Linked DNA regions of Mytilus edulis. The protein of the gene in region 2 interacts with the protein of the main gene of each other region in a pairwise test. Links are inferred from orthologs where the notes say so. Each region holds a gene or a part of one and is shown on either strand. Other genes may lie near its edges.

Region 1 (3,935 bases), on a different chromosome or scaffold from region 2:
AACTCATCATTGTTAGCCACATACCAAAAATCAGCCCAATATCTGAAAGCGTTTAGAAAAAAAGTCTGTATAACAGCGATTTTCAAAATTTTATTAAAGTCCAAAGCCAAAAATTACAGCAAAAATTAGCAGAGCAGCGAAACTTAAACTTGATCTGTAACTTATGAATAACTCACAAACCAAAAAATCATCCCAATATCTGAAAGTGTTTAGAAAAAAAGTCTGTATAACTGTGATTTTCAACAATTTATCAAAGTCCAAAGCCCATAATTTTGTCAAAAATTAGCGAAGCAGAACAAAACTTAAACTTGATCTGTAACTCATCATGGAGAACTTATATTCCAAAGATCAGCCCAATATCTGAAGCGGTTTTCAAAAAAAACTCTGTATAATGGTTTGTTGTGGAATGACGGAATTTTGGAATTTCAGACAGGGGTAAAACTATATGTCCCGACCACTTAGTGGCGGGGCCATAAAAACTAAACTTAAATTCATTAAGTTTGTATTTTTTTTTTAACATTATTTGTTTGAATAAGACTATAAAATTGTGTGATGCTAGATTTGACTTCTAGTTGCTAAACTTGTCTTCTTGTCGCTGCTGTGTCAGAATCTAATGGAGTAATTCTTTCTGTCGAATTATACTTTCAAAATCTAACAGTACACTCAATTGCTATAATTTGTTCAAAACATCCTAAACAATGACTGTCTATACCGTTCGCCACTGATCCAATGTCCCAGACTAGAACAATTCTATTTGGACTAGCAAGTATTTGCAAAACATTGTTCAGACACATAATGAAAAATGGCAAAATATTGGTCTTTTCCGTTAAGTCTTTGGATTAGAAGAAGTAAATGTAGTAGAAGTTGGTAAAGTTTTGGTGCAGACTGATTGACTTGAACATCTTTTCAATTTTGTTGTACTCACAATAAAATTACACATAAAATTGAGAAAGGAAATGGGGAATGATTTAAAAGACAACAACCCAACCATAGAGCAGATAACAGCCAAAGGCCACCAATGAATCTTCAATGTAGCGAGAAACTCCCGCACACGGAGGCGTCCTTCAGCTGGCCCCTTAAAAAATATGTATACTAGTACAGTGAGAATGGACCTCATACTAAACTCTGAATAATACGTAAGAAACTAAAATTAAAAATCATACAGGACTAACAAAGGCCAGAGGCTCCTGACTTGGGACAGGCCCAAAATAGCGGCAGGGTTAAACAGGTCTATGAGATCGTAACCCTTCCCCTATACCTCTATAGTCTTTTACTTTGATTCTGAAAAATTGGAGACCACAACTGACTTTACACTAACAGTGGAGTCCCCACAGCCTGTGATATCGCACATTAGCTGATTTCATCATATCAACACATTAATATAAATAAAATCATTCTTGTTATTGTTTAAGCCTTCTGAAGGGAAAAAAAAAGAATAAAATTGATAAGTTCAAGAGTTCATTAATAACTGCAATTCCTTGATTTACCATATTTGGTCAATTTCCATTAAAAAAATACATCATCAGATAAAATTTGTTTTACCTAAGTCAAATTTAATTATGATATGAAATAATTTTTTGCTCTGCATCCATTGGCATCTTTGGCAGTGTGTTTCACTGTTTGGTTCAAATTCAGCTACATTTAGTAGTATAAAATCTTTCTTTTATTCAAAATAACCTATTTTTGTAAGGCATGCGAGAAATCACCAGACATTGGAGGAACTCTCAGAAAAGGGGATTCCCTAATTTTGGACACACATTACTAAAAATTCTGAGGATGAAACCATACAAACAGAAGATTTTATAAAATAAAAGTATGTTATGAAGTGTTCACACAATTTTATCCAATTTTTGGTTTTATTTGTTGAATGAAGTGAAGTCAAAAGTCTTAGGTGTGCAGATACACCGGACTGCACCGCAACATTAATTTAAGCTGGGATATAACTTCCTTGAATTTGTAAGACATTCCTTTTTTCATAACAAACTTATCCCATTATCTTTTTCTTCTAATTACCAAAACACATCTTTTATACTTTATTCCAATATTTTAACAAGAATAGAATAACAGTCAAACTAATTTGCAATATATGACTTTAAACAGAATTATTCAGAAAAGATTGAAAAATCTGTCCTGGGTCACCTTTAGTTTTTAATTAGTTTTACTGTATTTGATTCAAGTTCGTCCATTGAAACTATACGGTTATTTAAACAGAGAAGAAGACTATTTTACGCCAATTTTGAAATAAAGTATACCCTGTAAGTTGTCATGATGTCTGATGTTGTTCTTCAATCTCGTTTCAAACAGGTCCAGTTAGGAATGGTTGCTATCAAGGTTTCGGTAACATGCGCAGTGACCGGTGAAGAACCTAGATGATAACAGGTCTCAAATAAAACTTTACAATTGTGATAAACGATCAAGTCAAATTTAAAAGTTCAATGAAGATTGGTTTGATGTAAAACTGCGGAAGAAAATAATATGTTTTCTTGTTATAATGTAAAATGCCAAAGTAGTTATCATTTAGTTTGTACGGTCAAACTTAACTTCCGTTTTTCGGAATTTGTAGCTTTATCCATTTGTTTGATGAAAAGACCCGAAAAATGTAGGAAAAAAAATCGTCTGTTTTTGAGTTTTGGAGGCATTTTCAAAATGATTGGTGTTTCTCTAATTATTCAACGGTATTTTAAAAATGAATTACTAAATACTTTAGGTTGCTTTATGACACTGTTAAGATTATTTTCCCCTTTCCTGACATGTATGAAAAAGCAAGAAGAAGAAGGGTCTTTCGGTTTTAAGTCTTTTAAAGAGACAGGCCAGCACTGCCTCAGTCACTGAGTCAGTGCCCTCAATCATTCCTTGACTTATTTTCATTTTTTATTTTTTCTGTTGTCACAGAGTTACAGAGACAATCTCACCCTTCATAAATCAAGTGCAAACTGCTGAATAGATTACACAGGAACAAATTATACTATTACTATTTTGACGGGATACACCTTATCGTTATTTGTCCGCCATTACTGGATATCACACTGGTTCCCGTAAAATTTTGACGTCATAAAATAAAATATCTGAAGCCACAATGGAAAAGTGATTGTTGTATGCGTCAAAAGTTCAAGCGGCTGGTTCAGCCGGCCGATAAGGCTAATAGAGATAAGGTGTATTGCTTCCTTTAGAAAATGTGGTATAGATACTTAGTCAGCCATAAGTGGTTGAGCTAAGGAAGTACTTCTTTAGCCCAGTCGGTTAACACACTGCATTGTAACACAGAGGTCTCGGGGTTCGATTCCAGGTGGAGACAAGCAATTTTGTAATGAAATTCATGCACTCCGGACGCCACGATATAGCCTTTTTGTGCTAATGCGGCGTAAAGCAACCAACAATCAATCATGCTCTCCGGTTACATTGGCGCCCAGCTAAAAAACCCACATAAGTTAGAGAGGAATTCTAGCTAGGGTAATGTGTGTGAGAGTCATAATGGTATGATGACTCGTGAGGTTGGGGAAGTGTGACAGGATTGCTTCCCTTAGAAAATGCGGTAGATATTCTATAAGCGGTTGAGCTAAGGAAGTACTTCTTTAGCTCAATCGGTTAGCACATTGTCTTGTAAGGCAGAGGTCATCGGTTCGAGTCACGGTGGAGACAAGCAATTTTGTAATGAAACTTATGCTCTCCGGTTACAATGTCAATAGGGACAAAATTGGAGTGTTTAATTATGAAAAATGTATTACAAATGGTAAAATGTATCCTCATCTCATGGGTTTTCGTGGTATTAAAAATGCATTGTGACGTCACAATTTCTATTGAAAAAGCATTCATAGTACAAATTCATATTATGTATGAAAACAAATGATCAGACCATAGGCATAGAAGAAAGAGGTTAAAACTTGTAAAATATATGTACTTTAACATGCATGTTCAGCCATATGATCAGATGATAT
Region 2 (3,935 bases):
ACACTTGTGAGTAAACACTGTAAAATATTACCCTTGGGGAATGGTGAGTAAACACTGTAAAATATTACCCTTGGGGAATGGTGAGTAAACACTATAAAATATTACCCTTGGGGAATGGTGAGTAAACACTGTAAAATATTACCCTTGGGGAATGTGGAGGTCTTGAAAAACCATCATATGTTAACGTAAAAATAAGAAAATGTGGTATAATTGACAATGAGACAGCTCTCCAAAATTCCTTGCAAACTATGAGCTAATCTAAAGTTAGATGACCTTGATGTTTAACAATGAACATTTAGATGTGAACATTAGACCAGGGATCTATGTTCTAGAGTTGGACATCTAAAAGGTATTTTGCTTAGATTATATACACCACTTTCCCATTTATTCATGTTTTGTAATACTGGTTATCTGTTTTGCAATATTTGGCAAGAACATATAAAAGTTGTTAAAACATGAAATGCTATTGTGGAAGGGCTACTTTCAATATCCACCATATGACTTTGTCAAAAGTTTTTTTTTTACTTAAAAAATCTATGTATTTTACAAATTGACATTAAAACATCCTCTAACCATATGTCATAAGGGAGATAATCCTATTTCAACTCATCAAATCAAAACATCCTCTGACCATATGGTATAAGGGAGACAATCATGTTCTAACTTTTATATTAAGGTAACTTTTGGTTGCAGTCTTGAAACTGACTGCTCCATAGGCTTACCAGTACATGCAAAACAGCTGATCTTTGAATTTTTTTAAATGAAATGCTACATAGATTTTTTTTTCATGTTCATATCATGTATGTAGTAATGTCAAATTGTGTTTTAATCTAGAAAGAAAAAGTAGGTCATGCCACCAAGAATAAAAAGTTATTTAATCTTGAAGTCAAAATTATTTTTTTCTACTTTCTGTTTGCTGTTTTTACTAGGCCTAACCACTTGCAGTAACATAATATCCTTCCACTTTCCTAGCTTGATATCCCCAAAGAGATGCAAGATTTTCTAAAAATCTAAATGTTACATATGTTTCAATTCAGCATTTATAAAACTTATAATCAAACAGAAAAAATTGAGTCCCAGAAAAAATGGACCATTTCATTTCACTCTATGTTTAGTCATGCTGCGTAAACTAGAAACTAGTTATACAAGACTGGTAACTTTTATTCTGTCTTATCAATAAAACATCCTCTGATCATATGATATAAGGGAGACAATCAAGTTTTATTTCTTGTCATAGTAACTTTTATTCTATCTAATCAAAATTAAGTCTCTGCGCTGACACAGTGTGGAGTATAGAGATTAAATCTGAAATTTTAACCATTACACTCTAGATTTATTCATGATTATTTTTTCATCTTATCTAAGTATTAAAATATGGAGATGTGGCATGATTGCCAATCAGACAACTATTATCCTTTAATGGTGGAATGAAGTTAATGCTAGAAATTTAAGCCAACTGTACAGCCATCAAAAATGAGAAAATATACCATAGTGGGCAAACTAATCCCCAGATCACTTTAAAATCAATTGGTTATAAAAGGTGATTTGCAAAAAACAAGGAATACAATGTCCTGGGAGATTTAAAGAAACTGGAGGAGCTGATTACACGACTGGCATCTTCCACAGAGGATGCTGCTAAAAAAAGACCAATCTTTATCATCAGGAAAAACTACTTTAATTCCCAAAAGTTAAATTGATAAAGCAAAGGGCCATCTTCAATGTATATGCAAGTTGGAAGAAAGTATAATGTATAAATATGTGTTGTTCAAACTTGTCCTTAATAAAAAAAAATGTATCACTAGTTCCTTACCAACCAACGCAGAAACTGCTAATTTTTTGTTTGTATCGCCCCATTTGGATTTTTTCCCACTATCATCTGAACTTCCATTATTCCTTTTTGATGACTCTCCCCCTCCTGAGTTAGTTACAAATGCCTTTTTAAGTAAAGAAGTAGCTCTTCCAATCCCAGCCATCTCTGATCATCAGCTGTGGAATATTTCCTTATTAAAATGTTTCTATCATCTTTATTACCATTTATCATCACATAAATTACTTTTAAAATCCTGTTTATTAAACTGATATCAATATTTAAAACTTTACAGATCTATAAAATCTTTGATAAATAACATACTTTATATGATCTAAGTTCTAACTACAATATTATAAAAAAAATTTTTACTTTAATATAAAATAGAATTATTTTTACTACTAAAGCCTTTTTCTCTGTTAAAGTCTTTTAAAAATCAGGTTTTATTTTCTCAAAATTAATTTAAAAATATTTAATGAAGATTGTGTCATGTTTAATTTCTATACGTTTTTTAATGTTATTTTAAAATATTATCATCATACATGAATTGCATCCTACATCAGACTATAATTTCAAAACCTACCTTATGTAAGAAAACAATAGAATATCCGATAGCCAAACTTAACATGTAAACAAACTGCAGGAAATCCTTACAGAATTTTGGCCAGAAAAAACTAAAAACTAAATAGTGGTTTCTATTTGGTGTATAAACAATATTTCCTTCAAAGAACTTCAAAGGTTTAAGTGACAACCATGCAAAACAATACACCATTCAGTTCATATACATGAGTAAACACAATATTGTATTGAATTAAAATACTATAACTAATGAAGGTTCTGTCCAAATATTGGTTTTTTTCTGACCAAATAAAATTCTAATTCTTGTTACATACAATCAGAAATTTGATATGGCTATTTCTAACCCTTTAGATTTGCCTATAATGACTCCTATTATAAGTGAAATTTTGTGAATTGAATTATTTAAAGGAATAAACAATGTTCCATTAGATTTCAGAAAGTTTACACTAGTTAATTGTGCTACCTTTTATTGGTTTCTTTGTTAATGTCCATTTACACAAACCTTGATGGGTACTCAATGACAAAACTTTATCTTTTAAACAAATATTGTTTCGAAAAAGAACCAAAAAGATCAAATGTTCACGGTACAAAACATACTTCTAAGGGATAAGTTTACTGTTAATTATTGTTTTACAAAAATTCCATAAAATGAACAATTCATATGTGTTAATTTTTAGCATGGAATTTGATCAGAAATCCAAAATTTCTATATCTAATAGTTAATGAACCTTTCTGATACCCCTAAATAAAGTGGTGAAAAGCAATTAAATATGTCAATATTTGTCTGCTATATTACAAGCCTTTCATGGACACAACTCTGGTTTTAATGAGAAATTTTATTTTTCAGATGGCAAAGGGTAACACAGATGTGACTGGAAGTAAAGGTAATAAATAAAAAAATATAATATCTTTCCTCATTTTTGAAAAAAAAATAAAAGAAAAACACTAATTGAAAATTATAAATACAAATTTACGATATATATATTCAAAAATTTTGTATTTTAAACATTGTAAATGATAGGATATGACTATTGCTTTTATCTATTTCTAAATTACATTCAATATACAGCACTTCCAACCTTCTATTAAAAAATGTGATGGTCTCCTAATTTTAATTCATTTATATTTTTAAAAACACAACATTCAATTCTTTTATTTTATATTGCCAAATTATTTTTTAATGTTTTATTGGTGTAGTACAGCTATTATTGTAACCTTTCATTTTATTGTAGCACAACTACTATGATTACTATATTAACTGTTGTACAGCTACTATAATTACTATTTCAAATGCTTTACAACTACTATAATTACTATTCTAACTGTAGTACAGTTTTTATGATTACTTTTTTAAGTGGGGTTCAGTTACTATAATTACTATTTTAACCGTAGTACAGCTATTATGATTACTATTTTAACTGTAGCACAGCTACTATAATTACTATTTTAACTGTAGAACAGCTACTAAGATTACTATTCTAACTGTACTACAGGTATTAAGATTACTATTTTAACTGTAGCACAGCTACTAAGATTACAATTTTAACTG

The links.
Region 1: the proteins of MYCBP-associated protein-like (region 2) and c-Myc-binding protein-like interact in binary tests that used the Homo sapiens proteins (3 or more experiments, as listed by UniProt). The link is inferred for Mytilus edulis from reciprocal best matches to the Homo sapiens genes MYCBPAP and MYCBP.

What each region holds. Positions count from the first base shown.
Region 1 is NC_092353.1:10,607,394-10,611,328, reverse strand, and holds the start of c-Myc-binding protein-like, read right to left. Parts: upstream 2,385-3,935; 5' UTR 2,268-2,384; coding exon 2,253-2,267; intron 1-2,252. UniProt on the Homo sapiens protein: May control the transcriptional activity of MYC. Stimulates the activation of E box-dependent transcription by MYC.
Region 2 is NC_092344.1:110,248,226-110,252,160, forward strand, and holds the start of MYCBP-associated protein-like, read right to left. Parts: upstream 2,515-3,935; 5' UTR 2,391-2,514; intron 1,987-2,390; 5' UTR 1,974-1,986; coding exon 1,811-1,973; intron 44-1,810; exon of another isoform or gene 1-43. UniProt on the Homo sapiens protein: May play a role in spermatogenesis. May be involved in synaptic processes.